2 linked regions of the Lonchura striata genome follow. The protein of the gene in region 1 purifies or fractionates together with the protein of each later gene. This does not show direct contact. Links are inferred from orthologs where the notes say so. Each region holds a gene or a part of one and is shown in the gene's direction. Other genes may lie near its edges.

The links.
Region 2: the proteins of L3MBTL3 (region 1) and SAMD13 purify together in Homo sapiens (affinity purification with mass spectrometry; 3 studies listed by BioGRID and IntAct, counting the BioPlex papers as one, with this or other methods). This does not show direct contact. The link is inferred for Lonchura striata from reciprocal best matches to the Homo sapiens genes L3MBTL3 and SAMD13.

Annotation. Positions count from the first base shown.
Region 1 is NC_134605.1:60,466,910-60,474,654, reverse strand, and holds the start of L3MBTL3 (lethal(3)malignant brain tumor-like protein 3), read left to right. Parts: upstream 1-4,660; coding exon 4,661-4,737; intron 4,738-4,942; exon of another isoform or gene 4,943-4,951; coding exon of another isoform or gene 4,952-4,968; intron 4,969-5,006; exon of another isoform or gene 5,007-5,076; intron 5,077-6,039; exon of another isoform or gene 6,040-6,122; intron 6,123-7,745. UniProt on the Homo sapiens protein: Is a negative regulator of Notch target genes expression, required for RBPJ-mediated transcriptional repression. It recruits KDM1A to Notch-responsive elements and promotes KDM1A-mediated H3K4me demethylation.
Region 2 is NC_134611.1:18,037,825-18,045,893, forward strand, and holds the start of SAMD13 (sterile alpha motif domain-containing protein 13), read left to right. Parts: upstream 1-5,045; 5' UTR 5,046-5,149; intron 5,150-6,491; 5' UTR 6,492-6,519; coding exon 6,520-6,572; intron 6,573-8,069.

The DNA of each region.
Region 1 (7,745 bases):
TGACAGGTCTGGAGTATCCAGCCTGAACAGACTGTCCAAAGTAATGCTTTGCTGCAAGGCTGTTATAATCTTATGCACAGTTGGAGTCAAAGTCTTCTACTATGGGAAATGATAATGGTCCTCATATGCAGAGTGTGCCCACATACCTTAGGAAAGAGCATGCATGAATACAGTTCTGTGCCAAAACAAGCCATGGTGGTTACCCTCTTACCCACTCATAACCACGATATTACTCATTATTATCCCTTAAAACTACATCTAGGAAAGTCCATTTTTAAAGACTGCAAATCTCCTGTTACTTCCAGCCTTGCCCAGCACAGGCTTCCTCCTCCCCCTTTCTCTTCTTGACCCACTTACACTTTGCCCCTTTCCATACCACTTGTCCTCCTCTGTGGTGTGTCTCTTTTCTTACTACCCCCTCCTTTCCTCTCCCTCAGGACCTTTGTTCTTACCCATTTCTTTGGGCCTATCATCCATTCCAGACCACACATCCCTGTTGTGTCTTCATACCTCTTGTCTCTGGGGCCACTTCCTCCTTGCTTCCTTCAACTCATTTAAGATCTGCCATTGCTCCAAGCTCTCCTCTAATGTCCAACTCACATGTCCAAGCTTCTAACTTCAGCCTTCTTCTGGTTCAGGAGTCCTCATCAATATTCCTAATTTTCATTGGACTCATGCTTGCAAATTACTTTTTCTGTTTTTACAACTCATTATTCTGGTCCAATGCTCCCCAAACCCTTAATATGTAACATGGCTCTGGATTCATTCCTGAACTGACAAACCCATAACTTCCCTATCTGCCTTTGAATTTCTTTAGGATGAAGACCAACTCCGGAAAGCTCTGTAGTCTTGCAACTTTGTGAAAGCAGGAATTTTCAAAGGCTTCATCAATAGCTTCAGAAACAAGTTCTCCCAGGTTGCACTACACCTACATCCAAAGCAGGTTGGGCTGAAATGTCTTTGGAAAATACTGCAGTTCCTTTCAAGTACTCATGCTCAAGTGTTCTTCCCAGAAAAAAAAAAAGGCTGTTTCCTACCCAAGTCTCACTGTGGTAGGGAGTTAGGATCCAGTCAGGCAGGCACACAGATCTGAAAACTAGGAGGTATTACTGGCTCTCCAGTTTAGCATGACATTTGTATCAACTTTGATAAATATTCCAGGATGAGTGGCAGAAACAGTTGATTCCATTGATAATAAGTCAAGTTGTGGACATCAGTGTGGACATCAAATTCTCTGGACAGGGAGACAGTACTATTGAGAGGATTCAGCATGGACTGCAATATGCTCGCTTCAATTGGTAAATAACCACATATACATTCTCTCTTCATTCTCAACTTCTTAAAGCTTTAAGACTTCCATTTTCCTGGCTTAGAGCTTTACATAATATTACAATATATTTTTTTTCCCCAGTGATTGCCCTCAAACCCTCTTTCCTGTCCTCCAGGTTGGGGAAGAATCACATGACAGACTGATAACCGTCACTGGTGAGAAAGGTCACACAATGAGCTGCACAGGTTATTAGAAGTGTGATAAAAAGTCCCATACAGGCTATTTTTGATTAATAAGGCCATCTTTAAGGCATGTTAATCATAGAAATCAAGATCCTGGAAATGTCAAATTTTTTGGTAAAATGTAAATATGGATTCTCTTTTTCTCGGTTTATGTAGATACTTCCTGAGGAGCCATTAGATCACACAAACCCAATATGCAAACTGAATGGATAATGTACATTACTTTACTCTCATCCCCTTAAATGGTACTCAAGATTTGGATTTTGGAAGCCATGTAGATGGATGTTCATGCACATGCCCTTATAAAAATAATCAGTATTTGGCTACAGCACAAACACCTATTCAACGAGTTACAAGAATACTCAGAGAGAGATCAAATTTAGCTACTCCAAAATCTGTCATTAAACATACTGCCAAAATCATATTAAATGCCATACTTACATATAGAAAACAAGTGTTTGAAATTCTCTGCCTTTGGAATGCAGATGGAATTCTAGTATTAAATAAAATGGCAACAGAACTAATGTTTAAAGAGCATATGTGAATAATGTTTAATCTATTTTTATCCAATAAATTTTTATTGACAAAATAATGGGTTTATTATACATCATGAGCTGACACACTATGATTAGGGCAAGGATCGAAGAAGAGACAGAGAACAGAAGGTACCTTTATTAATTTCATATGTCCTTTTATTTTAATCAAAGTGTTATCAATTTGATTCATAAGGCAGCTATGTGCTGTTTCAAATCCTTGGTTTCAGTTACAGCTTCCAATATACATCCTTCATGGAGGTTTTTTTTCTGTAAGGGGCTACCCTCTTATAGTCACACATATGAATATGTTTCCCTTTAAGATTTTCAGAGGAAAGGGACAAAGTCTTTCAAGCATAAATAAAATAATGGCAGATAACTAGTTCAGTTGTACTCTTAGAAATGTATCTTCTTAGCAGGGTATGTTATACCATCCCCCAAAACATCAATATCATCTGGAGAATAATCAGTACAGGTCAAGCATCCTAAAGAGTTTGAAAGTACACCAAATTGCACCATTCTTTGAGTATCTTCTGCAGAGCCCAGCTAATTTAATGCTACAATAGAATAATCTAGTTCTTTGGCAACTGTTTGACTTAAAACATTTCAACAACATTGAACATTGGGAACATTGGGAAATAATTTTAAAAAAAGCGCTGAATGACTTCTGTTACAGTTTATTCTTTGTTTCTAACACATAAATTTCCTCAAGTAAGAGCTCACTGGTGGAAAGTAAGAATTTTCTCATCCACTATTTTTTGCATCTGTGTTTTAGAAGAGTTAAAATACATGTTATCACTAATTATTACAATTAGGTTAATACTGTTTTCTGTAATTAATTTCTAATGAACATATGTTTATTGATGAAAACTGCATCCTATATGCAATGCCATTTGAGCTGAAGGGGTGTTTTATCATCATTGCTCATAATAAAACAACTATAATGTATTTTGCTTAGGCACCAATTCTGTAAATACTTAATTATGAGCCCCTTTTTACTGCTGTGAAAAAAAATCATTTAAATAGACAGAAACTGTCAAGATAGTAGGGCAAAAGCCTGATTGTCTGAACTGTTTGAACATGGGCATAGTTTAAGGGAGCGGAGTTGTCAAGCTCGGTTCTTAAATATTTTAATACACGTTCTGAAAGTAAATTCTCTACTGAGCAGAAGCTGAGGCTAGGAAGTCTTATCAGAGATGGAGCATCTCTATCTTGTGTCCAGTGCAACGCTGTCCCCATCATGGGGATCAGAGGGTAATACAGTATGCATCCATAATACCTAAAAAGGTTGTACTTAGTCTTGTCATTTGTATTTATTTCTATTGATATTCAGCTAATACCTATTACTGGCTGACTATTAGTATTTATCATTATTTCTGTTCTAGTAATTTTGGCCAAAGTTGGAAGTGTAGTTTTAGAAGGGAGCATATATAAAAGCAAGACAAAGCATGGTCATTGATCACTACTGGGATTAACAAAAGATGTATTGAGATTTGAGAGTTATTTTAAGAGATATATAATAATATGCCAAACTATCAAAAATTCAGAATTTACTTTGTCAGTTTTTGTCTTCAGGACAGAAGTACTTTAGGGAGATGCTGTGTGGTCTGAAAAAAAATTTAGGATTAGTATAATGAAGATTGTGTTCTGTGTTCTTTTATACTTTGCCTCAAACTGCATACATAGATGTATATACAGTTTTAAAAGTATCATATTTACATCTGATCACAATCCTCCATCCTCCCTCTTTCCCAGTACACTTAGGCCTCATACAGGTCTGTGCTGTGTAATGTTCTTCTCCAAACAGTTATCCTTGCAGGTGAAGTTCATCCTGGGCATTCCCATGAAGCAACAAGGGCCATCAGTTTTCACTGTTTTCTGAACGAGGGACAGAAAATAAATGAAGATGTTATTTGTCTTTAGGAATACAGGGCACCGATGGAGAGTATTCAAGAAGGTGGCACATCTGAGACTAGTTTTATTTGGTGAGCTGGCTAGGTTGTAAACCAGATGAGGCCCATCACAAGGAATGTGTCCATACCGCAGGCACCCCATATTTCGGGAGCGCAGGAGGAGCCTGGCTCCGCGCTGCCTGGCTTCTGACCATCTCCTCGAGGATGCCCTCGCCGGCCGCGGCGGAGGGCAGCCCCTCTCCCGCAGGACCCGCTCTTTCCTTACTGGTGCCCAGCTGTTCTGCCTCTGCCCCAGGTCTGTTCTGCGCAGAGGAGCCACAGACAGGCTTTCCCCGGTTCCCCGGCGCCCACCACCCAACCTTAGCAGGACCTGGCAGGACCCCCGAGGACCGGACCTCCCCCTCCCCGAAAAGTGCAAGGCGTTATTTTTGAAAGCGCCCAAAATAGCGCGCGACTGCTGCACAAGTCTCCTTATTATTCCTCCAGCGTCGGCAGTAAATCAGGGGGAGGATGCACCTCCGCCGGAGCCCTCGTCGGCAGCCGCGTTTTCGGCGAGGGCGATGCCCGCCGCCGCTGGCGGCTGCCGGGTGCCGGCCGCGGGCGGCCGGGGCGCAGCGGCAGCGCAGGCGAGGGAGGAAGAGGAGCCGCGGCGGCGGCGGCGGCGGCAGTTTCCCCTTTCCCCAGCCCTGGCTCCGCGGGCGCATGCTCACTGTGCCCGCAGCCCTGGACCATATTTGTCAGGACTACTCGAGAGACGGAGAAAGAGAGAATTTGGGGGGGTAAGGAGCGGCGGGTTCCGATCTGATCCGCAAGCCGTTTAGGGAGCCGCGATGGCAAAGGCTGGTGACGGGTTTTAATTTTCCCCCTAGGTGAGGATGAAAGTTAGAGAGAGCCTGAGAGATAAAGGGAGAGACGCACCTCCTCTCCCTCCCTTACGAAACGTATCTGGGGAAGGGGAGGGGGGCTTCTCCCCGACCACCTCGAGCAGAAAGGATGGAAGTTAATGCCGGGTAAAGTGGGCAAGTGACTCGCAAGTGGCTGGGGAGCGGCCGGGGCACCGGGGATCTCACTAAATCATAAGTGTACGAGTGTGAAAGAGGAACAAAAGAAAGAGAGAGGTGCCTGGTATTTCTTTTTCTCTTCCCAAACACATGAAGGGAGTACATGTATATATATATGCGCTGTATATTTATATACATACACAGGCACGCACGCACGTATGTGTATGTACATATATATATACACGGGGGAGGGAGCTGTGGAAATGTGTTTGTGGGGGCCCTTCTTTTTTTTTTTGGGGGGGGGGGAGTGGGTTCCAAAGGGAGGGGGAAGGGAAGGGGAGAGACATTTTGCAGACTTGCCCCACCAATGAGCTTGTCAGTTGGCTGCATTTAATGACACTTACGGGGCACCGCCGTGCTGTTGGGAACAATGTGATGCGGGTGCCGCGGCCGGGCGGCGGGGGGAGAAGGTGGGGGGGCACGGGTGTGCATGTGAGCGCCGGGCGGGGAGGGAGCGGAGCGGAGGGAGGGGGCTCGCTGCCACCCGAGCCCCCCCTCCGCAGCCCCGGCTCTTTGTTCGCACAGGCTGAAGGACGGGGAGAAGTGCGGGCTGCGAGGGGGCAATGCGCAGCGGAGAGGGGTGCGAAAAAGGGTTTTTTGGTCGGAAGCGGCGAGAGGTGGCGGCTGCCGGGATATACCGGTTGAATGTGCCGTGGGTCCCCGTGTGCGAAGGCCTCTACCAGCGCGCAGCAGAGAGTTTGTATTTTCCGTCGCTCCTGCACTTTGTGTGATTGTGTGCGAGAGATATTTAAAATATAACCATCTCCCAATTTCCGCCATTTTGGGGAAAGTTTGCACACACATACACATACAAAAAAAAAAAAAAAAAAAAAGGCAAGCTTGTAGCAATTTTTTTTTTTTTTTAAGAGACGAAAAAAAAAGTCTTTTGCTCGAGTGCTCAGTTCCTGCCTCTGTGCGGTGCGTGCGCCGCGCTCGCTGCGGCAGACATGTGAGGCGGCGGGGGAACGGCCCCTGCCCGCTTCGGGCTGCGTGCGGCGGCGGGGGCCGGCGCCTGTCACCGCCGCCGGCTCCGCGGGCCGGCCTCGAGGGGCTGCCGGGGGCTGGCCCCGGGGTGCCGGCGGTGTGAGTGAGCGCACATACACGTGAGTGCGTATTTTGCCGACGACGGGGGCAGGGAGCGGGGGGGGCAGGCAGGGGCAAGGAATAGGACGCGGCTTTTCTGTTAAGTTGCGCGCTCTCGCCTGAAGTGCGGCCGGGGTGGGGGAGCGGCCCCCCGCGCACACGCCCGTCTCTCCCTCCCCGTCTCCGCAGCCGGTGCATATAACAACAGGATATAGGCACACTTGTTCTCGCTAGCGCGTGTGGGGCGGTGTTTTTTCGGTGGGGGGGGGGGGGGGGGCGGAAAGCGATTTTTTTTTTCGGAGGGGGGGAGGGAGCGGCGGCCGACGGGAAGGCGCTCCCGCGGAGCGGCCGCCCGCCCCCGGCCGGGGCTTCGGAGAGGCTGCCGGGGCTAGAGCGCCCGGGGCGGGGGGCGCCGCGTCGGGGCCGCAGCGGCGCTCGCTCCCCACCCCCTTGGTTTTCCCCCCTCCCCGTCGGAGCGGGCGCACGCGAGAGCGTGAGAGAAAAAGTTGCAGCGCGGGGCCGGGCGCTGGCGGCTGCGGGGCCGGGCGGGGGCGAGCCCTCCGGGGAGGCGGCGTGTGCCGGCCCCTCCCGCGGGAAGGGGTGACTTCTCTGCCGAGGGATGCCCGGACATCGCCTGCGAGCGGCCGAGTAGCGAGTCCCCGCAGCCCCCTAGAAAAAAGAGAGCTCGCCCCCCTCCTCCTCCTCCTTTTCCTCCGCGCTGGGGGAGGGGAGGAGGGAGGAGAAGGTAACATTTTTTAAAATTTTTTTTCCTTTCACTCGGAGGCAACCTCCTTTTCCCGGATCCCGGTCCCGGGGGGTGGAGGCGAAAGGGGGGGGGGGGCGGGAAGGAAAAAAAAAAAAAGCGAGGGACCCGGTAAACAAGCAGAGTCCCTCTCTCGTTGTGCAACTTCCTCAGGAACACTTAACACCCAGTTCCTCTCCCACCCCCGCCCGCACCTCGCTCGCCCCCACCGCCGCCCCCTCGCCGGGGCAGGGGGGCACTCTTCCCCCGCTCGGTTTAATTGCCCGGGGCGGGGGCGAAGGATAAAAAGGCAAATTCGGGAGGGAAACGGAGACACTCGAGAACCGCTTTCCCCGAGCGCTCCTCCCGAGGAGCGGGGCGGGCGCTTTTGTCTCGGCGGTTCTGCCCGAGCCTGGGGAAGACGCGGACCTGAGCCCGGGTTTTCTCCAGAAAGTTTCAAGTGCAGCAAAAACACGCCGCAAAACTGGCCAAGGAGGGACCTCTGCTGGTAGGCCGCGGGCTGCCGGCGCGGGGAGCGGCGGCCGCGCCCGCCGGGCCTCGCCGCAGCGTTCCGGCCGCCGCCGCGCTCCGCCGCGCCGGGCGGGGAGCGGCGCGGGCGGCTCCGGGCGGGCGCTGCCGGGACCGCCGGGGCACGGCCTGCGCGGGAGCGGCGCGGGGCGCGCTCTGCGGCCGTGCCGCTTGTCCCGTTCCGGAGCGCGGCTCGAGCCCCCGGGGTTTTTCGGCTTGAGGAGCGGTGCGCGCGTTGCGAGGCCCCTGGAGATGCGGCAGCTTCCCCCGGGGCGTGAGGGTCACGGCCTCTTCCATGTCTTTTAATTACCTGTGCTCTAGCAGCGCAGTGTAAAAGCTTTACAGCGAAAGGCAGCAGGAGTTACGTTTTCAG
Region 2 (8,069 bases), on another chromosome or scaffold:
TGTTGTCCTTCTTCATTTGCCTCACTTCCTACAACCAAGTGCTACATTTTAGATTTCTGAGAGAGGTAGTAGCCATTTCACTGAGATGTCTGAGCCATGTTTATATAAAATGTTTTTATCAGGCTGTATTCCTGTTAACAGTGTTAGTATTTCATAGGAATACTTTTTATAAGCTTCTTGCTACATTATTACAAGCTGGGCAAGTGGCAGATATTACTGTTTGTATTGGGACAATGAGCTGTGTTTTATACAGTGATTTTTTAATATGAAGTATAAGCTTTAAAATGACAAAGGTTTAAGTCTAGATAGAAGGTTTATTAAATATGAGCAACTAGCACAATAAGGAGTTGCACAAAAAAATAAGTAGGGCAGGAAATTCTCAGTGAAGTGGATATAATTCAGGTACAGGAAGATTTATTTAAGCAATTCAGTCTTGGAAAAAAGAGGAAGCAAAAGCACAGAGGTATCACTGGCCTTGCCTTGCAGTCAGCTGCTGGTATGAAGAGGGTGCTACTCTAGTCATCTTACTGGAGATTCATGTGATTATGAGAAAAAGGTCAGGTAATGCATATTGTATCAAAAGTACCTCAGGATACTAAAGCAAAGGTTTCAGGCCCTCCCCAGCAGAACAAAAGCCAGGTGTTTGCCCCGCTGTGTGGTCAGTGAGTCTGAGCAGTGCTGCTCCCCTCAGCCTGGCAGCCAGAGCTTTCACAAAAGGTTGTGCACATCTACCAACCTATTCTTTACCTTGTAGGAGAGAACCCAGGGAACTGTATGGAAGGTAAATTCAGGCCAGTGGCTGCTGTGCTGTGATTTGGTGTTTAACACACATGGTTTAACACACTGCCTTGAAAATGAATGCCAGGCTGTACCAAGGCACTCTGCTACATTCTGGCCATGCGTTTTCTGCCTCCCTTCCCTCCTCACTTGCTTAGCACCACTGCAATCTTTAGGCTTTTGTCTAGGCTTTATCAGAACTTCAGAGCAATTTCACAATACCCAGCCATGCAGAACACCCTGGCAGGTCAGAAGGGGACTGTGAAGAAGACACAGCATGATTTTTGGAGGACCTTCCTGGCCAAGAGGGAACTGAAGAGAGGCGTTTCATTGCAGGACTCCATGGGCTGGGAACTGTCTCTCATTCCTCTGTGGAGTGCTGAAGTAGGGAAGGGACAGCAGGACAACAGGTATTAAGCTGTTGATACTGTGGAGAAAGATAAGCGGCAAAATTCCATTCAAGCAAACTAAAAATACTATGGATAGGGGTGGAAAAGCCCTTAAGAGAGGAAAGACAGTTTTCTGAGAGTGCAGTGCTGATAAGGTGCAACTGGACCAGAAACGGGGATTTTTCCTCTTTCTGGGTAGACAGGAGCTGCCAGGAGCTATGGAAAAGACCCTTGGGATGTCTCAAATCATCAGTACCATATAGGTGTGATAAAAGTGTAGTGTGGAGTAAGGGACCATTCAGAACAGACTGGAAAGGGAGAAGGTACTGCCAAGACCCTAGTGCAGCCCAGGGTGCAGCTCCAGGGTCCTCTCCTGGAAGGTGAATTTACAGAAGGGAGAAAGGGGAACAAGATCAGAAAATACAGACCACAAAAGGGCTGTGGTCATTCAGATGTTTGAGTCTATATGAGAATGTAAATACCAGAGAAACAGAGAAGTCAAATATTACACTAAACAATATTAAACTAAAAGTTATTACTACAGGAACAAACAGGTATAAACTATTTATATATGTTTTTAAATTGTAGATTAAAATGTCTTAGTCCTCAGCAAAGAGGAGCTGGACAGAGCCTTTCTGCCAGGCAGAGTGGGCTGAGATTCCTCGTGGGCCCCAGCCAGCGCTGGGTGCGAATGGGCTTGTGCAGGGCTTGGCTGGGATGCCAGGAGATCAAACAATGGCCTGCACGGTCCTGTTTCGGGCTTGTTTTGCAAGGAGGGACATGGTGCAAAAGGGATTTTTAGACTGTTAGGAATTGACTGGACATTAATTCAGTCTGCTGGGCAACCTGTGTCTTACACCCATGTCCCTTCTACACTCATGACAAAAGTTACTTAGAAACAGCCGGTGCCCCCATTGGATTCCCATGCTGCCAAGTGCTGGGTTTTACAAGGAATTGATGATTTTTTTTGGCTGCCGGCCATATCTGGATGAAATCTCCTTGTTTACTTTCTTCCTCACAATGAGCAACAGAAACACAAACGATCGCGGCCAGCCCCGAAATGTGTCCCTGAAGCGCCAGAGAAGGAGCAGCAAACAGCGCCCGGGGCGGGCCGGCGGGACTACAACTCCCAGCAGCCCCCGCGGCGCGCTGAGGGCGCTGGGCTTTCCCCGGCCCGGGGGCTCGGGGCCTTCGGTCCTTGTGGGAAGGAACGCGCGTTTTACACAGGGCTAGGCCCCTTCTACTCTGCACAATGCCACCTTATGGAGGGCCTTCCCTCAGTGGGACACCGCACAGGGCCTGTGTTACCTTCTCACTCAGCTTCCCCAATGCCTGTGTTTAACCGTGGTTTCTTTACTCGGGGCACTGGAATAAGGAGGGCTCAAAGGGCTTTATTTAGCCCTGAGGAGCTGAAATTCAGTACACTCTGCACAGCTAGCAGGGTGCTACGCTCTCCTCTGCCCCATGTGCTGTGCATTTTGCCTAATACTCTTTAACTGCCAGGGACGAAACAAAAGGACAGGTTTGCAGGAGGAAACTGGCATTTTTCAATACCCAGAAAACAGGTTCCCCTGGTGTCTGACACCTGTGCTGACCTTTGCGTGTTTCCTCTCTTGTGACAGCAGAAGTTAAGACACACACAGACAGACACTGGATCTACCAACCCTGGTCTCATTTAGTTCCCTCCATGGCTTGGAAACTTTTTTTTTTTTTTTTTTGGCCACAAGTGGGATGCAAATAGTTAAACAAAAGGCTAATTCACTTTTCTGCTTTATCTGCCTCCAGATGTAATTTCATTATAATTAAATTACCTTACCCCAGTAAATGAAAATAAAAGCCACAGATCATATTCTACACTGAATTTTTCCATAATCCGTTTCCTTAAAATTCCTCTTTGCTGTTCAAGGTCCTCTAGAAGGAATGCATGCATGGTGTGAGCCTCACTTTGAATACTCAAAGGATTAACTGAAGAACATGATGAAAGGGAGAGCATGAGTAAAATAGCTCGTTTATATTTGTATCCTCAAATGTCAGTTCATTACCAAAGTTAGAAACCAGCTGATGCAGAAAACTCATTATGGCTTCATTTAGAATGTTTATTTCTTTAGCGACAGAAAAGAATTGCCTTGCTTGGCTCACTTGTCCAACACAAATAGGCCATGTTTTACAGTACACTTTGGGATGGGAAGAAAAGAGGGTTTTGTTTAGGGCACAGTACACTTAATTTTTTATTTATTTTGTTTTCTGCATTTATTTAAATCCCAAAGCAGTGAGGACTGTTACTCCTCTCTGTTCTCAATGCTTCTGTCAGTATTTGAGTGCCATTACTTGCAAAGCTCCTGCAAACTCTGGTTATTTATCTAACAACACATAAGTAAGACAAAATGGAGTGGTTTGGGAAGTCGTGTCCACAGTCCTTTGCCCGAAAGTCCACTTTGCTGGTAATGTTAGTGCTTGTGACTGTGTCCAGCTAGCAGGTAGGTGACCTGCATCTCCATGCAGCCAGAGCACAGTAAACTTTATCTGGGAGTAAGATGGATGCAAGTGCCCGGGACAGCCCCAGGCACCAACTCTAGTGGCAAAGCAGGCTCTGTCTTTGCCAGCTGGGCACTCGTGCCAGAGCTCTGCAGAAATCAGGACAGAGTCATCAGTAGGTTCTGTGCAAATCCCCAGGTAATTTGTAATGTCCCACTTGCCTTGCAGCAAAAAGCAGGAGCATCATTTGAGTGGCTTGACTCAGAAGGAAATTTTTCAAGTAAAACATCCCACAAATTTGAAGTAACCCAGCCTGATAAGAATAATCAAAAAGTCACAGCATCTGAGTATATTTGAGATTTATAGCTGAGATTTCTGCTTATGTTTTGTCGACACATTTCTGGCTGTAACTTTTTCTGAGTGCATCAGCATGTTGTGCTTTTTCATTGGCCTCATGTCAGTGTCTGGGTTGCAGCTCTTTGTAGTTTTGCAGCTACAAAGCCCGTGTGTGGGGAAACAGGGTGTGTTGATAGTTCTTGCTTGATTTCCCTTGCACTGACACTGCATCTAGGTAATGCCTATACACCATTAGAAAACAGCAGTTACAAAAATACTGAAAATATTAAAAAAAAAAAACGTAAAAAGAAGTCTTGTTGCCAGAACAACTTGACAACTTTTGTATTAAATTCTGTGGGTGAGATTTAATTGCCAGTGGGACACTTGGTAATTTGTAAGCTCTTTGAGTTGATTCCTTCTTTCCTTGTGAAATAAAGTCTGGAGCTTAGACGAGTAAGACCTGCAGGCTCAGTGCCTCCCCAGTGCCGGCGGGGGCACAGTGGCGGTGACTCGGTTCCGCTGCCCTGGGTCACTCCTCTTTTCCATCACCCCGAGCCTGAAGTTGCAAGAGTTCTACAGAAAGCCAGGTGTCATTCTAGAAAGGAATTTTTGTAACTTTATCAATTTGCCAACATCTGGCGACTCCTACTTCCTACCTTGTATAAAATTTCCTCGGCTTGGTACTGGATCCTTCAACAACTAAGGATTTCTTTCCGTCACCTGTTACCCCGCTTGTTAGGAGGAGCAGAAATGTCCACAAGGAGGCCCCAAGAACCTCAAGTCACGAACCGAGCTCCGAGCGCTGCTCTCCGGCCCCGGCCCGGCGCTGCCCGCGGCTCCGCAGCAGGTAAGCGCCGCGGGGCGAGCCGCGAGCCGCTCGGCGGAGGGAGGAGGGGGAGCCGTGCCCCGCTCCGCGCCCGCCCCGCTGCCGTCCGCAGCGCCGGGGCCGCGGTGCCCTCCCGCGGGGCCCGCGGGCCCGCGTTGCGGCGCCTTTAACGCGGCGGCCATGACGCGGGCGGGCCGCGTGTGCGGGCGCGTCACGGGGCCGGGCGGGGCCGCTCCGGTGCCACTCGGAGCCGCCGCGGAGCGCCCGCTGCCGCCGGGGGGCGGGGGCCGCGGGCTCCGCCGCTCCGCAGCAGCCGGTAGCCATGCGCCGGCTTAGTTGCTCGTAGGTAGGTTTTTCTGCCTTGCTTCCCTCGCCCCCAGTCAGAACTGACAATGTGGTGCAGTGCGAGCGGGCTCGGGCTGCCCGTGAGATGCTGAACGCGTGTCACAGCCCCGGCGCCGCCGCGGGAAGCGGAGCCCCGGGAGCCCCCGCTGCCCGGGCCCGCGGGCTCCGCGGGAGGTGCCCGCCCGAGCCCGGGGCTCCGGGCCGTGCGCGGCCGCGGCGCGGGGCGTTCCGCAGGTAGGCTGGTGCGGGTGTCGTCTGCAGTCACCTCAGGTGAACCGAGAAGTGATTGCAGGGAATGCGTGGAGTTGTTTGGTCAGGAAGAAGCATCTTTTCGATCAGTTTGTTACTATGTTCTTGGTGCTCTACACGTTTCTGCGTGTATAATAAAAGATCTTTTTTTTTTTTTTTCTTTTTTCCCCACAGCAATATTAATTGCTATTCTCTATTTTTGCAAAGTTTTAGCTGAAGAGCATGATTTCCCTATTCTGTATCCCAGAGCTTTGAGACATTTCACTGGCATCCATTAATGCTACAGCAAGAACATCCCGTGTCTCCTTGGTCTGTTCTCTGGTGCTCTCTGAAATAGAAATGGCTTACTTGAGAACAGAACGGAAAGGCTTGGGTTATTTCTGCATGTTCTGTGGAGCGATGGAAAAAGGCTGTGTGGTGCGAGTACTCCAGTGTGCTGCAAGGAAGGAAATGAACTGGATTTTCTCCTGTGTCCTTCATGTGTTCCTTCCCTTTTTGGAGTTCAGTGTAGCATACCTGTAGAAGAAGCTGCTCTAGTGAAGGAAGGGAGGTCTTATAGACAACATACTGATTTAGGCCTCAGGAGTTTGGGGCGCAATTAGTAACTCTCCTTACCAGCTTTATTTGCACAATGAGCTTAAGTGAAATGTTAATCTGTATCCAAATCCACATTTGTAAAACAAGGCTATGGATTTCCAGACCTTTCCAAAGATCTCCCATTTGTTTGGATCTTCTGTATCACAGGATGACTGAAGGCCTATCAAGCTCTCTTGATACACAGCTATATATTGCGCGTCAGTCTCCATGTATATGAATACAATTTTAACACTTGTGAAAAGGATTAAATGTAGTATTACTTTCCTTGATTTTCAGGCAAGAATTATTTTTTGTGTTTGAAGCACAGATCAACTTTATTTTCTAATTCATTAGCTACTATCAGCTTTGCCAGGCTTCCAAGGAAACCAGTCTTTAATAGCACTGTTGCTCTCAAGTGTAACATGCATGTGTCCCTGTAGAATGCTTGTTACATTACACTGCACTGGTCATACTACCAGTTATTAAACACAGCTCTTTTTTTCCTCCCTATTGATCAGTTGCTGAAGTAAAACTTCTATCCTCTCCATGCTAACTGTTGACATGGAAAACAAGGAAAATGGCTCTCTGGATGTCAAAAAGTAAGTGTTTCTTTTATGTAAACAGCACATGGATTTTGAATGTAGTTTTCTTTTGAACTATAGTGGCCATCTCCATCTTTGCTCATTTCAAACCCTCCCTGTTCTTAATGACTTCTGTTATATTTCAGCTTTGAAATAGAAGAGTCCAGGGCACTGAGCTGATTAAAAGTGATATGTGGTAGGACTGTATAGCAATGAAGAGATGTAGAAGACAGTAAGTTAGGTAAACGTTTTATTCTTTTCCTCTCAACCAGAAGCTAAAGCAATATTGTGCCGCTGCTCACCTGTCTGTTAGTGGCTTCTGCAGCAGCAGTGCCTAATGAGAGAAGTGTCCTGTGTGGAAGTTACCTCTCTGTGCCCTTCTCTGCTGACCCTGTCTAGGGCTGAATAGTAGCAGCATATCACTTAGGTATCAGTTCCCTTCTGAAACAGATACTTTAAGCTGTTTATTGGAGAAGCCTGAAGTTGCTGGGGTTTTATTTCAAGACCTAGAGTAGGAGTAAGGCAGAGACATGGTGTGTGCTGCTCTACACCTTTCTTTTGTGTGGTAAACTACAGGCTAAGGCATAGGAAGTTTTTTGTAAGCATTTATTTAAGGTCAGAAATTCTTTAATTAAGACTAGCAATTCTGAATGACATTATGGTCTGAGAAGTGAAATTCTGTGTGGAAAAATCTGGTCTTGCTGCTTTAGGATTACAGAAGCCATGGTGAGAGAGATGTACACATAGGTATATATATATAAGGAAAAAAAAGACCATAAGGAAAGGTACTAGAGTAAGCTCTTAGTTCTGTCAAGCTGCAAGACTTTGTGCAGCTGCACATCATCTATTCTCAATCAGATCTCTCGTACATAAGCTGTCCAAGAGAATGTGACAATGCATAGGGTACCAGGCACTAGAGTAAGGTAAATAATGATGGTCACTTCAGGCTACTGATAAAACACCTGATTATGAAAAGCATCAAAGGATCTGATGGCAGCCATTAAAATCAGCATCCTCCCCTTCACTTTAAACACTGGCTACACCACACCAACATTAAGAGCATTTTCCTATTCAGTGACTATGAATAATTATTTTGTGTCCCTCAGAAACCACCTTCCCTTTGGCAGTCTGGTTTCTACAATGAGCATTTTGGGGTGGGAGGAGAAAGGAGACAATCAAAGCAGGGACAGTTTACATTTAATCATTTTCCCCAAAGCTTGGGTGATAAAGACTCAAGTACTGTTTGCTAAGGTGGCTTTTTAGAGGGGATTGAAATTGTATTTAAACTGTGGAGTTATAGTTTCTAGATGAATGTATATTGTATGTATGTGCGTGTATCTACAAAGGAAGTATTTGACACTTTCTTGAAGTGCTTATAAATAGGTTGGATAAAATCTGTTTGTTCTCAGCTATATCCTTTCAGACCTTGCTGCTTCTGCCACATGATGGCAATAAAGGCACAGGGACAGTGGTTAAAAACAGACAACTCTAATTCTTATTCAGTGTCAGTGCATC